2 linked regions of the Macaca mulatta genome follow. The protein of the gene in region 1 purifies or fractionates together with the protein of each later gene. This does not show direct contact. Links are inferred from orthologs where the notes say so. Each region holds a gene or a part of one and is shown on either strand. Other genes may lie near its edges.

The links. Proteins that work in one complex are often made in the same cells at the same time.
Region 2: the proteins of KHDRBS1 (region 1) and PLCG1 purify together in Homo sapiens (affinity purification with western blotting; 7 studies listed by BioGRID and IntAct, with this or other methods). This does not show direct contact. The link is inferred for Macaca mulatta from reciprocal best matches to the Homo sapiens genes KHDRBS1 and PLCG1.

The regions. Positions count from the first base shown.
Region 1 is NC_133406.1:208,845,715-208,855,522, reverse strand, and holds part of KHDRBS1 (KH domain-containing, RNA-binding, signal transduction-associated protein 1), read left to right. Parts: intron 1-2,476; coding exon 2,477-2,601; intron 2,602-3,703; coding exon 3,704-3,820; intron 3,821-5,360; coding exon 5,361-5,507; intron 5,508-8,730; coding exon 8,731-8,864; intron 8,865-9,658; coding exon 9,659-9,808. UniProt on the Homo sapiens protein: Recruited and tyrosine phosphorylated by several receptor systems, for example the T-cell, leptin and insulin receptors. Once phosphorylated, functions as an adapter protein in signal transduction cascades by binding to SH2 and SH3 domain-containing proteins.
Region 2 is NC_133415.1:93,996,807-94,007,374, forward strand, and holds the start of PLCG1 (1-phosphatidylinositol 4,5-bisphosphate phosphodiesterase gamma-1), read left to right. Parts: upstream 1-4,533; 5' UTR 4,534-4,601; intron 4,602-5,091; 5' UTR 5,092-5,212; coding exon 5,213-5,429; intron 5,430-10,568. UniProt on the Homo sapiens protein: Mediates the production of the second messenger molecules diacylglycerol (DAG) and inositol 1,4,5-trisphosphate (IP3). Plays an important role in the regulation of intracellular signaling cascades.

The DNA of each region.
Region 1 (9,808 bases):
ATTTTAAAAACTCCCAGTGCGGTGGCTCACACCTGTAATCCCAGCACTTTGGGAGGCTGTGGTGGGTGGATCACTTGAAGTCACACCAGCCCAGCCAACATGGTGAAACCCCATCTCTACTAAAAATACAAAAAAAAAAGTTAGCCGGGCATAGTGGTGCATGCCTGTAGTTCCAGCTACTTGGAAGGCTGAGGCAGGAGAGTCGCTTGAACCCGGGAAGCAGAGGTTCCAGTGAGCAGAGATTGTGCCACTGCACTCCAGTCTGGGTGACAGAGCGAGACTGTGTCTCAAAAAATAATAATAATTAGTAAATAAATAAAAACTGTTAAGGGTATATACATTTGCAGAACGTGTTTGAGGTAGGGTATGTTTATACTTTAAGCCAATGATTTTCAAAGTATGGTCCCTGCACCAGCAGTATCAGAATTACCTGGGAACTTGTTGGAATTGCAAATTCCTAACACAAATCCCAGACTGGGTTTGAGGCCCAGCAGTCTAGTTTAATAAGCCCTCTTCTAGGTGATTCTGATGCATGAAGAAGTTTGGGAACCCTAGTCTTAAAATTCTAGAACATGGGAATATTATGTGATATTCTATTACAGAGTATTTTCTGATATTTAGAATGTTCCACTGATTTTAGGGAGTATATGTATTTTAACTATTCTCAGTGAATCATATAAGCTTTCAGTTGCTGCTCATTCCTTGGGCACTTTTCCCTCATCTCTGTTAGAACTCCTGTTATAGCACTTAACTATACTTCATTGCCACCCCTATAGTCTGGGAACTCCAGTATATAAACAGTGAAGACAGAGACCAGTCTGACTCGCTCTGTTGTATCTCCTGTGCTTTGCAAGACAGATGCCTGGCTCTTAGTAAGTCCTCCATAGTGATTAATGATTGTACCTATTATAGCTCTCCCTTCATCTGCCTCTCCATACCGTAGGAAGCACTCAAACACTTGCAGTCACTCAATGAATGAAGTTCCTTAATGGTAGGAAATCTTTTTTTTTTGTTTTTGTTTTGTTTTTTGTTTGTTTGAGACGGAGTCTTGCTCTGTCACCCAGGCTGGAGTGCTGTGGCCGGATCTCAGCTCACTGCAAGCTCCGCCTCCCGGGTTCCCGCCATTCTCCTGCCTCAGCCTCCCGAGTAGCTGGGACTACAGGCGCCCGCCACCTCGCCCGGCTAGTTTTTTGTATTTTTTAGTAGAGACGGGGTTTCACCGTGTTAGTCAGGATGGTCTCCATCTCCTGACCTTGTGATCCGCCCGTCTCAGCCTCCCAAAGTGCTGGGATTACAGGCTTGAGCCACCGCGCCCGGCCAGTAGGAAATCTTTTTGTATGCCAAGTTTCTATCTAATGAAACTGTCTTAACCTGTGAATTGAAAGTACTTTTGGGTGATGATGGATATGTCTGTGGCCATAATGGTGGTGATAGTTTCATGGGTGTATACTTATCTCCAAACTCATCATGAATTGTATACATTAATTATGTATGGGTTTTTACATATCAGTTATACTTCAATAAAATGTTTTTTTAGAAAGTACCTTGTGGCTGGGCCGGGCGCGGTGGCTCATGCCTGTAATCCCAGCACTTTGGGAGGCTGAGGCAGGTGGATCACCTGAGGTCGGGAGTTCAAGACCAGCCTGACCAACATGGAGAAACCCCGTCTCTACTAAAAATACAAAATTAGCTGGGCATGGTGGCACATGCCTGTAATCCCTGCTACTTGGAAGGCTGAGGCAGGAGAATCGCTTGAACCCAGGAGGCAGAGGTTACGGTGAGCCAAGATTGCACCATTGCACTCCAGCCTGGGCAACAGGAGTGAAACTCCGTCTCAAAAAAGTACCTGGTGCATTTTGTATCGTTTAGACATTGGCTGAATTTGGGCTAGATAATGGTGACAATATATTAAGTACTTTATGAAAAATTGCCTTTAATTAGGCATATCTACATATTTTATTAACTTCTCTTACGTCACACAACTAGTGAGTAGCAGAGTAAGAACAAGGTCTTTCAGACTCTTAAGGACTAGTATCTAGAGTACTAATGTCACTGTGGAACTTTAATGGAACTATCCATTGTATATTTAGATTATTGATTTTTGCTTTTTTCAAGGTAAGATTATATTTTGTCTTGATGCAGATTTTAATTTTTTGTTTGTTTCTTTATTCTCCTTTCCCCATCTCACCCAATTAATTTTGTTAAATCGATTTAAGAAACATTTAAATGTCTCTATTCTCACGTGAGGCTTCAGGTGAGGTTAGAAGAGCACACTACTTTTATTAGAAGCAGGCTTTGGGCTTTCTAATCAACTTCATATAACTTTAGTACTTTCAGCTAGTTTATTTCTGAAATTGGCACATTCATGTGTACTATTTGGTCTCACTATATGGTACTTCATGTTATTGCTTTAAGCAGACTTCAAAATTTGCTTTTATTTACCAGAGCAAAAATTTAAATTGTTTTTCCTGTTCAGAAATTGAGAAGATTCAGAAAGGAGACTCAAAAAAGGACGATGAAGAGAATTACTTGGATTTATTTTCTCATAAGAACATGAAACTGAAAGAGCGAGTGCTGATACCTGTCAAGCAGTATCCCAAGGTAAGGCAAAAAGTGCCTTGCATCTTTGAGTTATCTTTATAGTTACGAGAGAGTCATGGACTCCTGGGGATTGTGATGCTTTAGAAACTTAAGCCTGTGAAGCTTCTCTTTCATGCTTGCAGTACCTGTTTCTGGCAATTGAAATATCTAAGTTCTTAACTAAACATAGTTATAGCCAGGAAGGAAATGTAATAATCTTTTTATTATCAAAAAGTTTCTTTCTCTAATGACTGCTCAGGCTACAAGTTCAAAGAAAAAAAAAAAATAAAACCTGAAGAGTTGCTCTCTGTCAAAAGACTAACCTGAAATCTAAATAAAAGGAAATATAATACAAATCCTCAATTGGATGAAGTTAATTTTATTTTCTTACTAAAAGTTTACTTTTAAGTAAATGCTTTTTTTCTTCCTTTTTTTTTTTTTCTTTTTTTAGGAAAGCAATTAGTTACATTTAGTTTATCCAGCGTGCTATCAAAGGGTGCTATATAGTCTCTTCTGCTCTGAGGTCACTGCGTTAACAATGTTTATGTATGTTAAGGCATGCATAAACAGGCACAGTGGCTCATGCCTGTAATGCCAGCACTTTGGGAGGCCAATGCAGGCAGATTACTTGAGCCCAGGAATTCAAGACCAGCCTAAGCAACATAGCAAAACCGTATCTCTACAAAAAATACAAAAATTAGCCTGATATGGTGATGTGCACCTATAGTCCCGGCTACTCCAGAGGCTGAGGCGGGAGGATCACTTGAGCCCAGGAAGTCGAGGCTGCGGTGAGCCATGATCATGTCACTACACTTTGGCCTGGGCAACAAAGTGAGAGCCTGTCTCAAAATAAAGTAAAAAATAAAATAGTAAAGGTCTTAGTGTATTATGGAAGATGGCCAGAATACATCAGAAAAGCCAAATTCAGGTCTAGGAACTGCCACTTTCTAGTTTCATAATCTTAAACTAATCACTTTATTAATATGGCTTCAGCGTCCTTCAGTAAAACGGGAATGGTAATACTCTACCTTTGCAGGGTTGTTTAAAATCAAATGAGGTAATTTATGTGGAGATGTTTTTATATAGTAGCATGTATATTTAGAAATCCTTTATTTTCTGTCAGTTCAATTTTGTGGGGAAGATTCTTGGACCACAAGGGAATACAATCAAAAGACTGCAGGAAGAGACTGGTGCAAAGATCTCTGTGTTGGGAAAGGGCTCAATGAGAGACAAAGCCAAGGTAAGCTCACATTAGTGAGGCAAGAGGACATCCTAATGCCTTCTACTTGCCCAGAATGCAGTATAGATGCCTTATAGAGGCAAGAATATTGTGTATGTACAGAATGTGGCTCCTTTAAGTGTGCATTGGGTGCAAGAGATTATACACCAAGTTAATTTACTTGCTTGGCAACCCTGGAAGAGCCTAGGTGTGCCCTGGTGATAGTTTTCTTTTGGACTTTTGACTGCATAGTAATGGACAGAGCAGTAGCATCTTGTGCATTGGTAGGATTGTCTGGGAAAACTTGAAAGGGGAGCTGGATATACTAAAACTTAGTCTAAAGCAGACAAAAGACACTAAAAGGCAAACAGCACACCCCCTTTTTTGTAACCTGGAAAAGTGAGAACAATAGTGTTGTGAGAGCAGAAGAGTTTGAGGATTAGTTGGTTTGTTTTATAGCCGGCTGGAATGTGAGGCTTACTAAAAGAATGTATTCCAAAAGGAGCCATGAGTAATCCTGACTACAGAATCTAATGAGTCTTTTCCCATGCCATAGCCGCATATACTGTGTACTCTGTGACAAGAAACTTCTCACCAAAACAGAATGGTCTTAGCCTTCTGGGGTCACTTTATTTGATGAGATATGCCTGCTACAGTCCGAAAACCTATTCTTTCAATCCTCCTTTTATGTAGCCTAATGGACACGTGTTTGTTTTCTCAGGTCATTTCTTACTAGACGCATATAGTTAGGGCTGAAGTGTGTTGTTCTAGCTAATGAGATTTACATGAGCTTTTCTTCTCTCTGTCCTGACTTCTTTCTTCCCCTAGCACTCCCTAGACCATATAAGCAGATAAGCAGAGCTCGTGGTGATTAACAGCTCTACCTGAGATTTAAAAACAAATGCTTGGCACACAGCTATTATCTGAATAGAGACTAGAATTAAGTTTTTCTTCTTTATGCTTTTAGTAAGAGCTCCAGTGGATATCTCAGGGATTTAAGATGACAATTAACTGTTAGCAGCAGACCATGTGCAAGTTTAGCAGGCTGTGCAAATTACTGTTCTTCAGAGCTTGTTTCACTTTTTTTTTTTTCTTGAGACGGAGCCTTGCTCTTGCCCAGGCTGGAGTGCAGTGGCGCAACCTCCAACTCCCGGGTTCAAGCGATTCTCCTGCCTCAGCCTCCTGAGTAGCTGGGATTACAGGCAAGCACCACCATGCCCGGCTAATTTTTGTATTTTTAGTAGAGGTGAGGCTTCATCACGTTGGTCAGGCTGGTCTGGAACTCCTGACCTAGTGATCCGCCCACCTCGGCCTCCCAAAGTGCTGGGATTACAGGCATGAGCCACCATGCCTGGCTGCTTGTTTTACTTTCTTAAACTTTACTGTTTTTCTTTCTTTCTTTTTTTTTTTTTTAAATTCTTCTCAGCTCATACCAATTAAACTTTACTGTTAGTTTAATTAGACATTGGGGATATTTCTTGCTGTTCCTTTGGCTTAGAGGTAAAGGTGTTGTTTTCTCCCTAGTCCATGTGGTGTGACGTTTCTCTGCATTTTTCCATAGGAGGAAGAGCTGCGCAAAGGTGGAGACCCCAAATATGCCCACTTGAATATGGATCTGCATGTCTTCATTGAAGTCTTTGGACCCCCATGTGAGGCTTATGCTCTTATGGCCCATGCCATGGAGGAAGTCAAGAAATTTCTAGTACCGGTAAGGAAATCCATATCCTGTGTCTTCTGAGCAAAAGAGAACTGGGATCTTATGCTGTTGTGAAGGTAGGGTTTCTTAACTAAGGTCTCTGCATAACCTGTATGTATACCAAATTCTGCATTTATGTTCATTTTCCTGCGGTAGTTCATTGCTTGTACCTAGTTCTCCAAGCATTATGCTCCAAGGCCACTCTGTCCCTCCTTGTCTAATGTGGTAGTCATTGTGTATCGGTATCTGTTGTCAGTATCTCGGGTCCACAATGTGCCTGCATTCTGATACTTGGTTAACTACGGTTTAACAGGGTCTTCACCTAGCTGAGTATTTTGGTAGTAGTGTGGAACAAGGAGATTGTATTAAGAAGGTGACTAAGGTGCGTCCCTGCACTCAAGAAGTTTATGCTGTAGAGAGTAGAGGCTAACAGCAAGAAGCTTATAACATCTAGTGTTACTGAGTTAAATTCTGAGCACACTCAGGGATTTCTTTCCTGGAGGAGTTTGCTGAGGATGAGTTTGGTTTGGAAGAGGTTGACTGTTGATGTTTCACAGATTGGTGAGCAGCTTTTTTCAGACTATAACTGAGGACTAGATAGAGATAGGACAGGCCAGTTTATCTATCTTGCTTATTACTATCTTTAAATACTTGGTTGGAACGTTACTTTGAATAAATAGGAAATGGTACTGTTTTTGCCTTTTAGCAAGGCCAGGTGGTTGTCAGAGTTAACATACTACTGTTGAATATTTAATAACAAGGATGAATCTGGAAGCTTATGAAGGATTTGGAATATTATTCAACTAGAATTGAGTAAGTGTCATGTGTTCATCAGAAAACTGAGAGGTGGTAAGATACAGTCCTTGGTTTTCTTGAATGTTAAATGAGGGAGTTGGAACTAAATGTAGTGTCAGAGGATGTGAAAATTGATAGAGCAAAAATTTATAGGCAGTGTGGGCCGGACACGGTGGGTAACGCCTATAATCCCAACAATTTGGGAGGCCGAGGTGGGCAGATCACCTGAGGTCGAGAGTTCGAGACCAGCCTGACCAACGTGGTGAAACCCCGTCTCTACTAAAAATTAGTTGGGCGTGGTAGCGCCCAGCTACTCAGGAGGCTGAAGCAGGAGAATCGCTTGAACCCAGGAGGCAGAGGTTGCGGTAAGCCAAGATTGTGCCATTGGACTCCAGCCTGGGCAACAAGAGTAAAACTCCTTTTCCAAAGAAAATAAAAATTTCAGGCATTTTGTACCCGTAATGCTGAACTCCAAGGATGCCAACAGTCTCAAATGTCTTCGCAGCTGCTTTGCTTTCAAGTACCTCATCTTCATTAGAATGTTCGACGTGAAACAGACCATTTGACATATCCTAGAGAAAAACACAGCTGGTTAATCTTACTCAAGGGAATTCTTTTTACTCTTTTTGGGGTGTTCTATTGATCACCCAAGCATTCAATTTCCAAAGGACTGCAGAGGGAATACCCATCTTCTCTCTTTATTGTTAGTCTCCCTCATATTCCTCAGAAGGCTTAGGTTTATGAGGCTTCCATGTAAGTGAATCTTTTGAAAAAGATGCCTGCCGGGGAGATGGGGGTTTCCTCAGTGTTGCTGTGGTAGTTGGAGGAGTCTGAGGAATGGTCTGGCATTAGTTACTTGATTCTCCAATGTGTGAGTCTCAAGCAGCAGTAATGTGTAAGGTAGGAGGAGCCGGACAATTGAGGGGGGCATCAAAGACTAGCATCATCTATGGAAACTGTATACATCTGGGATGTGTAAAAATGCATGAAGTATTAAGACTGAATGGCTCTCAACAGGAAGTGTGAAAAGATTTGCAAATGGCATTTGGCTTGATTTTTCCCTCTTGTGGAGGAAAAAAAAGTGAGATTATTTTTGCATCTGTGACCAGAGCCCTCCATTTTCCCCTTAAAATAATTAATTATACCAGTAATGCCTCACAGTGCAGTAGAAAGAGCACTGGACCATGTATATCTGTCTCTGTATGTCTTCCTGGACAGGTTATCATTTCATTTTTCTGAACTTCAGGTTTTTCATCCAAACATTTCTTAAATATCTGTCAGATGTCTGATACTATGCTTCGGTGTAAAGTTACAAAAATGGCTCCTGAAGAGCTTACAGTTTAGTGACAGACAATTCTAAAATGATGTGGTAAGTGCTTGCATGTAGGGAATTATGTGGTACTTTGAGAAAAGAGGAGTTGTAGGAATGGCATCAAGAGAAGGTTTTTCAAGAGACACTTATTTAGACAAGTCTTACAAGGATGAGTTAAGAATCCCTCAGGTGGACAAAAAAGACAGTATAAGGACAAAAAAGCCTGTTGATCCAACACCTAGATTTTGAGACAGGTAATTCTGAATTCACATCTAGAGTCTGCCATTTATTAGCTCTATGTTCTTAAGCTGGTTGATGTATACTCTTTGAGTCTGTTTTCTTAACTGTAAAATGTGGAGATCTGCCTACTTCAGGGACATTTTGAAGATAAAACTGAAAAGTCTATATAAAGTTTATTATATGGAGCCAAGTGCATACAGCTCCATTAATGGTAGTGGCTTTTATTATTCCAGGAAGAGGAAACTATTTGCAAAGAATGGATGTGTAAGAGTATGCCAGGCTCTGAACTACAAGTTGTTCAGTGTGGCTTGTGGGGAGGTTTTATATATATAGAACGAATGGAAGTGATCCAGAGAGCTAGGCAGGGAGCACATTATGAATAATGAGGAGTCTGCCGTCAAGACTTTTCTCGGCTGGGCACGGTGGCTCAAGCCTGTAATCCCAGCACTTTGGGAGGCCGAGACGGGCGGATCACGAGGTCAGGAGATCGAGACCATCCTGGCTAACACGGTGAAACCCCGTCTCTACTAAAAATACAAAAAAAAATAAGCCGGGCGAGGTGGCGGGCGCCTGTAGTCCCAGCTGCTCGGGAGGCTGAGGCAGGAGAATTGTGCGAACCCGGGAGGCGGAGCTTGCAGTGAGCGGAGATCTGGCCACTGCACTCCAGCCTGGGCGACAGAGCCAGACTCCGTCTCAAAAAAAAAAAAAAAAAAAAGACTTTTCTCAAAGAGGTGACAGGTAGGGTGCCATTTGACTTCAGAGAATGAATGATGTGAGACCTCATCTGGGCTCTCAAAGCTGTTCTTAGAATTCAAGGCTCCCATGGGCCGGATGGTTTCTCAGTAGAAACTGTAGATATTACACAATACTCGTATCTTTCATTCCCAGGACATGATGGATGATATCTGCCAGGAGCAATTTCTAGAGCTGTCCTACTTGAATGGAGTACCTGAACCCTCTCGTGGACGTGGGGTGCCAGTGAGAGGCCGAGGAGCTGCACCACCTCCACCACCTGTTCCCAGGTAAAAATAATGGAGACACCCAGAAATAAGATGTAAATTTGACTACTAGTATCATCTCTTTTAGTGGTGCTCTTATGTCTCACTTAGGAAGGTTCTCAGGATTTGTACTTTGCATCGAGAATAGAATTCTACAACCAGACATGATGGCTCACGCCTGTAATCCCAGCATTTTGGGAGGCTAAGGCAGGCAGATCACCTGACATTAGGAGTTTGAGACCGGCCTGGTCAATGTGGCGAAACCCAGTCTCTACTAAAAATACAAAAATTAGCCGGGTGTGGTGCTATACACCTGTAATCCCAGCTACTCAGGAGGCTGGGGCAAGAGAATTGCTTGAACCCAGGAGACAGAGGTTGCAGTGAGCCAAGATCATGCCACTGCGCTCCAGCCTGGGTGATAGAGCAAGACTCCATTTCAAAAAAAAAAAAAAGAGTTCTAGCTCTTGGGCACTTGGACGATAGCCAAGTGCTGCAGTCTAGCTGAAACTTTTGGTCTTCTAATTTTGGACAATCCTAGCATTTTTTAATGGTCTGACTTTAAAATTCTACCTTTTGTGACTGACCTTTATGGAGTATTCAGACTCTCCAGACCTACCCAAGGCAGTGCAGTGATGACCTGGTCCACTGTAGGACCTGGGGGATCTTGCAGTGTGGGTCCTTTACCCTGTACATTCCTCCGTGCTTTAATAATAGTTAACGCTTCATGAAATCTGCTTAACTCCAGAATTTATAAACAAATCAGAACATAAAAGTCTGTTTATAAAAAGCTCCATTTAAAATAAACTTTCATTTTGTAGGGGCCGTGGTGTTGGACCACCTCGGGGGGCTTTGGTACGTGGTACACCAGTAAGGGGAGCCATCACCAGAGGTGCCACTGTGACTCGAGGCGTGCCACCCCCACCTACTGTGAGGGGTGCTCCAGCACCAAGAGCACGGACAGCGGGCAT
Region 2 (10,568 bases), on another chromosome or scaffold:
ATGGTTTAGGTTGGGTGCAGTGGCTCACACCTGTAATCCCTTCACTTTGGGAGGCTGCGGCGGGTGGATCACCTGAGGTCAGAAGTCGAGACCAACCTGGCCAACATGATGAAACCCTGTCTCTACTAAAAATACAAAAAATTAGCTGGGCATGGTGGCACGTGCCTGTAATCCCAGCTACTCAGCAGGCTGGGGCAGGAGACTTGCTTGAACCCGGGAGGCGGGAGTTGCAGTGAACCAAGATCGTGCCACTGCACTCTGGCCTGGGCAATAAGAGTTAAAAAAAAAAAAAAAAAAAAAGAATGGTTTAAAGGAAAAGGACAATGTTCTACACGTGGATCAAATTAGACACTGCAAGACTATAAATCTGTTCCCTTCTAATGTGAAAAGGGCTTCACTGAGCTATACGCTATACTTGTATATTATGCCTTCGATATTCACTCAAAGCCATTACAAGGAACAAATGAAAATGGCATCAGTATTTGCTATTAATCAGTTGAGAACATTCTCCACTATTTCAATTAAATAAGTATCCAGGTGAGAAACTTCTTTTATAATTTAACCCCAGAATTTTTTTTTTACTCCAAAGAACCAGTTAACAGATAGAAAGTGTTATTGTTTTGGCTATCAGGAAGCTCAGCCATGTTTAATTCTCAATCACATCAGCTACGTTAACCCATAAACCATATTATCATCCTCCTCCTTATAATCTCATCTCCTATTTCTATATTTTGTTCTCTATTTTTAAGTACTCAAAGCTTTTTTTTAAAGGGCTGAAAAAGAATACATTTGTGGTAGGCATAGCAATGTGCCACCCAGATCCCCTTCAAGGAAGGACTTGTTGACCCAACTATTGGGAGAGCTGTCAGCAGAAAATCTTTAGCTGCCAGCCCCTCAAAGATCACCTTGGCTGCAGAGTGCCGTCTGGCCCAGGCTAGGCTCTTCCCAGGACATTACAACTCCTTTCCAGGCTAGTGCCAGACAAGAGATCCTGGGGGTTGGCTGAGACTGTCATCAGGCGTGCGTCTCCGTTTAGTTTGCCCTGTGCCCACTCCTGTTTCTTTCCAGTACCTCCCTGAGTGTTGATCCCAGGAGCACTCCCTAATAAACATGCTGCACACTAACCTGTCACAGAGTCCGCATCCAAAGAACCCAACCTGTGACAGCACTGAATCAAAAGAGACTCAGGAGGCTGAGGCAGGAGAACTGCTTGAACTTGGGAGACGGAGTTTGCAGTGAGCCGAGATTGCGCCATTGCACGCCAGCCTGGGCGACGAGAGAGAAACTCTGTCTCAAAAAAAAAAAAAAAAAGAAAATACATCAGGTAGGGGTATTTTACAAAGGAGAGAGGATATACAATAAAGTGTTCATACATACATGGGAAGCAAAACAGCACTGACTCTGGGGCCAGACTACCTGGGTTTCAATCCTGCCTTTTAGCTCTGTGCCTCAGTTTTTTCATCTGGAAAATGGGGGTAATAAGAGCACTTATAGGGCTGTAATGAGGAAGAAATGAGACAATGTGGATAAAGCAGTTCCATAGTGTTTACTATACACCAACCACTGTTCTAAGTGGTCATTTAATAAACAGCTGTGAGGCCAAACCCACAGGTCCCGAGGGGCAGCTGGGCTGGGACTCTCCCCAGACTCTGGGCACGGGCACAGGTACAGTGTAGGCCAAGGCATGCTGAAGCATGCATGCTCACAGAAATAGGCCTGAGCGGGCTAGCCTGGGTGACGTCACAGGCGTGTGCCTTGTGTGGGTGCTGGGCTGCTCCTCCCAGACAGCGCAGCTGCACGTATTGCCATTCACACCCACACACCCATATATATGCTGAGCTGGGGGAAGCCCACACAGACCACACCCTCTGCATGCCCTGTTTTTCCTGCACCTCCTTTGGTGGAAGCAGGCAACTGAGGCCTGGGATGCTGGCCCAGAAGTCCCAGGAGGAAATGGGCCCTGTTCTCTGATTACAGGCCTGGCAATGGGCTGAAAACTCAAGCTCTTGTTGGCAGGGATTTCTTGAGCCCCTGGAGGTCCAGCCCCAGAGGCAAAAGTAAAAGCAAGGAAGACTTACCCTGCACATTAGGAAGCTCCCCCAAAAAAATGGAGAAACAGATTTAAAAAGTGTATCGAGCCCACAGGCTGCCTTTGTCAGCATGGGAAGCTCAACGAGGGCTGCAGCACTTAGGAGGGTGCCTCCTGTAAAAAACAGAATCAGACAGCCAGAGAGGGGCCCCATTCAGCCCCTGCCCGCCTTCCTGGCCTCATCACTCCCTATCCCCTCCTCAGTTAGGAAACTCTAGCTTTGTAACCCTAAATTCAAACCTCTTCCTGGCCTCAGGGCCTTTGTACATGCTGTTACCTCTACTTGGAACGTATTTTTCTCCAACCCACCTTTAATAATTCACCTCGCCATTGACTCACTTCCTTTAGACCTCTGCTGCGGTCTGAAGAGATCTCGACCCAATGTTTTTCCTCCTAGCCCTCATCACAATTGTCTTTATGTAACAGAGTGTTTAATGTCTGAACTCCCGGAGAGCTGGCGCTGGGTCTCTCTTGTGCTCCTAACTCATGTTGTCAAGGCCCAACACAGGGAAGAGCAGGGTCCACAGAACTTTAAGCCTAAGCCAGTTCAAGCCACACTCTGTGAGCATTCACGTTCTGCTGGATTTCCCTGTGCCCTAGGCCAGCAGTGAGCATGCCTCCCCTCACCCATGCTGATTAACCAGAGCCTCCATGCCCACTGACTACTGACCACCAGGACTTACCTAAGCCAGTGGATCTCCTGTGAGGCAGAAAACTCATGGAGTCAGGTCGACTTGGTTCTAATTCCCACCTAGTTATGTTAGTTATGGGGCTTTGGGGCAAATTGTAGAACTTCTCTGAATCTGTTTCTCATCAGTAAACTGCAGACCATCATTCCTCATTAGAGGATAATTATGAGATCAGGTGTGACCACAGGTGCATGCCTTCAGCACAGGGTCTATGCCAGCTCCCTCCCGCCCACGTAAAGGCCTGCCACTAGGTGGCAGTCCATCTCAGCTACCCCACCGCTCCCTAGGCCAAAGAAGCTGGCTAGGACAAAGTGTCTCAAAGTCATGCTGAATTCTGAGCTTCTTAGGGGATGCACTTGAGGATATCAACGAAACACACAAGTTTCCACTACAGCAAGACAAAGTCAGAAGCAGCAGCCCCAGGTCACTATCCAGCTGAGTAGGTTGCCTGAGCACACACTCTTACATACTTACAAACTCTAGTCCTACTATCCCACAAATCCCAGGAAGCCTGGCTCTTTCTCTGGCATCAGCTGGAAGCTCTGTTGGGCTTCTCACCTCTGAAATGCAGTAAGTTGTCCTGCTGTGTCTGGCAGCCGACCCACTGCCTGGCTCAACATATCAGACTCCACTGCGACCGTTGGTGTCCTCAATTTTGGCGGTGCTGACAGCGGCAGATAGATTGCAGGGGTGAGTTTCAAGAATGGCTTCAGAAAGACGAAGAGTATGAATTATTCCATAACCAGAAAAAGGCCTTGTGGCTGGAGAATGGAGAGCGAAGGATCACTTGTGAGAGATGAAACTGGTGAGATGGGCAGGTCATATAGAACCTGCTAGGCCAAGCAGCGAGTGTGGATTTTAGGTGCAATAGGAATTCATGGAGGGTTCTAGGCTGGATGTAGGGGATCATTATTTAATTTCATTGTAAAGACTTAAAGCATGGAGAATAGATCCAGGCAAAACAAAAGTGAATAGTCTGGGTGACAGGAGATGGGGCCTTCAGCTTGTGGGTTCAGTGAACAGATCTTGATGGATTGGAGGTGAGGCAGAGGGAGCAAAGTTATCTGCAAGGTTTTTGGCCTTCCAACTTAGAGGAGTTTAGCGCCACGTTCTGAGAAAGTGAAGACTGGAAAGAACCGTTTGGGGAGGGAAGGTGAGCTGTCTAAGGTGGGGGGATGTGGCACATGCAGTGGGATGCTGGGGCCTGGAACGTAGGGGAGATGCAGGTTTCGAGTCATCGGTGCCTGTGTGGCGGGTAAAGCCAGGGGAAAGGTCAGGTCGCCTTGGGATCTGGCCTAGCACTGAGTGCAGAGGAAGAGAAGCTTCTGAGATCGAGAAGCAGCGGCCACAGGAGGAGGAGGAAAGTAAGGCGGGGAAAATCAAAGTTCAGGAGAGCATTTGCAGGAGGGGCGCCCGGGATCAGACTCCAGTCCCGCCGCGTGGAGACGGAGCGTACAGAGGCCCATGCGAAGGACAGACACAAAGGCCCTGGGAGCTGCAGGTCAGGCCGCTGGGCAGCGCGGCCGCGGACTTAACGCCCCTGCAAGGGGCTGGGGGGAACTCTCCGAACGAAAGGACCACTGAAGGCCACCCTGGCAGCAGAGGCGGAACAGACAGACGTGGGTCTGGCCGTCCCAAGAGCGGCCAGGGGCCAGCCCCGCGCTGCCGGGGGGCGGGACATGTCGGCTGTCCATCAGTGCCTGCGGCCAATCCGCAGGCGGCCCCGCCCCCGCCCCTCTCAGGAGAGGGCGCGCGGAGAACCCGCTGCCACCGCCGGTGTGAGGCGGCCCGGCCTGGCTCCCTTCGCCGGGAAGCCCGCCCAGGTAACTGGGTTTGGCCAGGCATGCCCGGAGGACGCGCCACCTCCTCGCGTCCCGTCCTGGTCGCTGCATGGGCGGTGTTCGGGACGCGGGGGCTGCGTCTGTGCGGGACCGCGGGCTGGCAGACGCCCGTGCGAGTACGCCTGACTGGCGCGCCGGCTGCGGGGCCTGCGGCCTGTGGGCGGGGCTGCCGTGCGTGACAGGGCCGCTCGTGGCCGCCGGGCTGTGTCCGGGGCTGCGTGAGAAAGCTCTGCGGGACTGAGGGCTGGGTGGGTCGACCGGGAACGGCGCGCGCTCCCGCCGCCATCGAGCCTCCGTCCCCGCCTGCGGCCTGTCTGGGGGTCGTGGGGCGCAGGCGCAGCGGGCCGGCGGGCGGGGGTCCTCCCCACGGGTGCGCGGGCGCCTTTGTTCCCGGCGCGCGAGCGGGGCGGGGCCTCAGGGCCGCCCCGCCCCGCCCTGCCGCGCTCAGGCCCCGCCCCGTGTCCGCCTGCAGGAGCAGCCGCCGGGTCCCGCTCGTCGGCCGCCTCAGCCTCAGCCCCAACCTCAGCCGGCGTCGTTGCGCCTGCTCCCGGGCCGTCCCGGCCTGTGCCGTCGCCGCCCCCAGCGTCGGAGCCATGGCGGGCGCCGCATCCCCCTGCGCCAACGGCTGCGGGCCCGGCGCGCCCTCGGACGCCGAGGTGCTGCACCTCTGCCGCAGCCTCGAGGTGGGCACCGTCATGACTTTGTTCTACTCCAAGAAGTCGCAGCGACCCGAGCGGAAGACCTTCCAGGTCAAGCTGGAGACGCGCCAGATCACGTGGAGCCGGGGCGCCGACAAGATAGAGGGGGCCAGTAAGTGCGCCCCCTTCCTGCTTGGGCCCGCCGCGCGCTAGGGTCGTGGGAGCCCGGCCCAACTGCCTGCGCCCCGGCCGGCCGCCCCAGCGACTTGGGCAAACTTTCGGGCCTTCCCCCACCCCCTCGGGGCCCCGCCCCCGCTTCGTCTCGGGTGGTCACTGGGGGCGGGGGGCATCCGGGTCCTCGGTCACCTGACAGGACACCCCCTCCCCCAGCTGGGGGGAGTTACTGTTCCTGGAGCTTTGCCCTGAGGCCTAAAAATCCTCGCGGGCTGGAGATCTGCGGTGCGGGCATCGGGCCCCCCCAGACCCTGGGAGTGGTGGTGGCATCGTTGAGGGGAGCTAAGGCAGCGGCCCCAACCCAGCACGGGAACCTGGGGCCTGACCAGACGGTCCCCGCCCACCACTCTTTTTCCAGAAAGAGCAGTCTGTGAAACTCTCCGGGCCCCCAGGCTGGGCTCTTGGTTGCAAAGGAACCTTTGGGTTCCCTAAGTAGAACTTAGGCAGATGTTGGGTAGGGCTGGTCTTGGAGCAGAGCCGGGCCTACTCATCTCCCTCTGGGGGAGAGGGAGGAAGGTGGTCTTGTTTGGTTTGGAGAAGCCTGAGAGAAGGCAGTGGCTGTTTTTTTTGTTTTTGTTTTGTTTTGTTTTGTTTTTAATGCTACTTTTGTCCCAAAGCTGAGTTTTGGAAGCCTATGTGGGTGGGCAGACACTCAGTGCCAGAACAGGGACTCCCCTTGCCCTGGGAAGCACGTTCCCAGAAGATGGGCCCCATAAAGGCCTGCCCCAGCGCCTTGGAGTCAGGTACTCTTCTCAGGAGTGCAGCTAGTTTGGAGTCTAGCCCTTTGTCCTCTGTCCGGTGGCTTCAGGGAGCGGGAGCGGCTTCTCTTGGTTTCCTGCCTTTTCGCCTTCCCAGGCCTGAGCTTGGCTGCTTTTGTGCTGGTCTGTAGTGGGAGGAGGGAGTTGGGGGATTTTGAAAAACCCCAGATCTTTGAGAGTTGTTCCACTTAGCGCGTGCCTGTGCTGTGGTCGGATGGGCACTCTGCTTTGCCACTCCATTCCCCCGCCTCTCAGTGTGAAGAGATGGTGTGTCTGCAACTCCAGACTAGGTTGCTTCTTGCAGGGACCCCCGGAGACTGGGGTTAGAGAGACCCGGGCTCAGAACCAGGTCTGTGTGAAGGAGGGGGATCAGGAAGTGACACCCCAAAGGGGGGGTCCCACAAACCTTCTTGGGTATGGTGTGCATGTGTGTAGATGGTTGAGGAGATTGGGAGGAAGGAAGGTCTTGTGGTGAGGCAGCCAGCCATCCTCAGCTACAAACTCCAGATCTGACACAGATCTAACGCAGCTGCTCAACTTAGAAATGGCAGCCGCCTTCCTCAGTGCCCCCACTGACCCTGTCAGCCACTGGGAGAATATTTTAGTGACTTGAGAGCCTGTGGATTCCAAAGTAGAGGAAGGATGGGCACTGCAAAGAGCTGAGATAATCCTGGGAACGTCACTCAGGCATCAGACTCCAGGCATGGTCCCCTTCCTTGCTCCCTATGCTGTGTTGAGTTGGTGGCACTGGCTGAAAGTTCTCAAGAGATCTCCTGGGTAACAGACTGCATTTTAAACCATGCATATTAGCAGGCAATAAATGTAGCACAGTGGTTGATGGCAAGTCTGGATTTGAAGCCCATATATTTGTTGTATGTTTCCCAGCCAGTTACTTACCTTCTCTGAGTCTTGATTTCCTCATCTGTAAAATGGGGGTAGTAATATATCCACTATATATGGTTGCTCCAGGATCAAATGAGACAATTCATGTAAAAATATCTAGCATTGTCTGACACATAAATGTTTAATAAATGTGAGCTGTTATTAGTAATAACATTAACAATAGACCATGGCTGCCCTTCAAGACCCTCAACTGGGAATGGTGAGGGGGTGAGGTGTGGCTGGAGGTAAGGGTGAAGGTGCAGGAAGGGAGGAGGATGGTGACCAAATTCACATTTCACTTAGACTGCTACTCAGAAAAAGGCAGGAAACGGTTTTGTTTTGCCTCAACCCATGTGCCCACTCACCCACCCACCATGTAAAACAGTGTTTCTTTAGAGAAAGTGTTTGGAGTTGTGCACATTTGACTCCTGGGTGTAACCTTTCTTGTTCGTAAGTTGGGGCCTGAACAGAAAAGGGGTGCAGAGAGGGCATGATCTATCATGCCTCAGGTCTTTGGGGGATGGAGGCAGGCACACAGAGGACCTGATAACCCCCTACCCAGCAGTGAGCAGGTGGGTCAGCCAGAGGTGTACACATTCAGTGATCTCATCAGTTAGCTAGGATTTGACAGGCCTGGAGGGTAGGCAAAGGATGTAGGAGGACCCTGGGTCTTGGATTTTGGGGACTCAAATTGAAAGGAGCCTGGATGAAAAGTCTGGTTGATGCCTGTGTGTTCAGACTTTACTAATGGAGGCTTCCACTGAAGCCTGCCCTGTTTCTGTCCATTCATGGGCTCTCCTTGTTGGTAGGTTCTGATTCCTGCGGCCTCTGAGGAGGTTGGACTGCCAGCCGGGTTTTCTGCCACCTGGACTCTTGCCCAAGTGCCTCAAGTATCTGGCCTTTCCTGCTGACCCTACCAGGGTACCAGCAGTGCCTGAAGCCCGGCCAAAGAGAGAGACACTGTGCTACCTTCAGGGTGTCGGTGGACCTGAGGGAGAGACAGTGTGGTTTAAGGAGCACTCATATGTAAGACCTATTTCTGCCCTGACTCTGTGCCCTCTCGCGTCAGCACTTGTGAAATGGAGCTGACACCTGCTGATTTCTAGGGTGGTCATTTGGCTCAAAGGCGGGGTGGGGAAGTGCTTAGGTGTTGACAAGTTTGGTTGTCCTGGTGGTATGACAGGAACCAGGTTGGTGTTTGGCCTTTTATGTTGCAGATACTGACATAAATGAATAAAATTCAGTTACGTAGAGTTCCAGCTGAGTGCTATCGAGACCTTTCGTCCCATTTTACAGATGAGGAAATGGAAATGGAGAATCGTTTGTGCCCAAGGTGTTGTAAGTGTCAGTGTGTGCCAGGGCCTCAGCTGGGGCCAGCTCACTAGTCAGTGGCTGACTAGCAACCCCAAGACCATGTTCCCTGTGATCTACGTGGCTCCTCTGTGAGACACCTTTGTGCTCAGGCCGTGCATTACAGGGCAAAGACCGCTTTGGCTTTGGTATCCCAAGACAGCCTCAGCCTCTCTAGGCTCTGGCTCCACACTTTTTCTTCTGGTGTCTTCTGAGTTGAGATGGTTCAGACTCGTGTTTAATGAGGTTGTCCATTTGAGGGTCTTTGTGGGCCCAGTAAACACTGGTGTAGACACTGGAGGTACTCTGTGAATACTGACTGAGCATGTCCTTGGGGACTTCTGGGGCCTAATCTTCTGTCTTTGGCTGATTCTTCACTAGATACTTTTCTAGATGCCAGGCCCTCTCAGGTAAATGAATATGGGTGCTTGCTTTTAGGGAAACGAAAACAGGCAATGACAATTGTGAGCAGTACCTTTGATGAAGAGGGTGAGGGTGGCGGAAGAAAACAGCTAACCGCCTTGATGAGGCAGGTGGGCTCAGAAGGGAGGTAGTAGTGGAACCAGCTGGCTGGGGCTTGACCCCTGTGGCTGGGGAGCAGACCACACCAGGAGGTCTGCTCCGAGGGCTAGGCCCACAGCACGGGAGAGGGCAAGGCCCAGGCCGGTGTCATCAAGGGTTTTCTTTGTACTGGCTGTTACTCCCAGTGGGAGAGGGGCAAGAGCACATGTCCGGATCTCCAGAGCTAGCCATCCCTGCCTGTGTGTTTCCTGTCTGAATGTAGTTTTTTCCAAGGGAAGTCAGACCTTTTAGTGTTTCCTCAGCACCCCAGGCTTGCCCTGATGTGTGGGTTTCCAGGCCCCCCGCCCAGCTGGGATCCTCTGTTTCCTGTGAACCTAGGAAAAGGGCCTGCTTCACAGATAACTGGAGGAGCTGAGCACACCCAGTCCTGGGACCCACAACACCTCCAGCTTCTCTCCGGACTCTGCGTGTATGTGTACATAGATGCACAGGATTCAGTTGGAGTTTAGAGATCTTGACTACCAGCTTTGCTCTGGGTAGCTTCTTGGAATGAGGCACATTTATTAATATTTGCAATAAGTATTATTATACCTCCAATTCACCCAGTGCTAGGCAGCAAGGATTCAAAAGTTTATTGAGACATGGTTTGTGCCATTGAGGAACTCTTGGAATAGACAGATGTAGAGGCATGTGATTATAACCCTGTGTGTTACATGCCATAATATAAAAGCCTCTGCCAAGAACTGTGAGGAGCTCTGCCAGGAAGGCATTAAAGGAGAGGTGACCTTTGAGGTGGGCCTTGAATTACGGAGGCACCTGCCTGTGCCGAGGCTGAGGAACTGGGAATCACTCCGTGCAGGGGTAGGGAACAGAGTTGGTGTGGTAGAGAGGAGGCTGGGACTGGTTGGAGACAGCTGTAGCCCTGGCGTGCCGTGCCCAGCAGATTACACTCAGTTCTGGAGGCAGCGGGAGTCAGCAGAGGCTGTAGTGGGACTGACTTGCCTCTGTCTGGGAGACCACAGTGGCAGTGGTTTGTCAGGCAGGTGTTGGGGAGGGAGGCCAGTGAGCTCCTCCAGTTTGCAGGAGAGAACTGATGAGGGCCCAGATAAGACCTTCTTGCTGAGGCAGGGTGGGGATGCCATGGTGGTGGATGGGAGAAGGGCTGGGTCTTGAGGGGTGAGACAGAGCTTAGTAGTTAAGCATTTGGGCCCTAGACTTTGCTTGAATTAAAATCCTGTTGTGCAGCTTACTTGCTCTGTGACCTTAAAGCATGTGGCTTTACCTCTCTGGGCTGCTTATCTGTAAAAGGGATAGTATCAAATGGCATTTATTTTATAAGGTTTTTGTGAGGATTTGATGAGAACCTGTATAAAGTGCTTAGCATGATGTGTGGCACAGTGTAAGTGCTTACTACGTAGGAACCCTGACAGGACAGAGATGAGGATTAAGTTCCCAGGAGGACCTAGTGGGGAGAAGAGCGAATGCACCTGTTGTCCTAAGGGACTGGTGCCTGGCCACCAAGCCCTTTGATTCAGAGGCAAGGAGGCCTGCCCATCCTCTCTTGC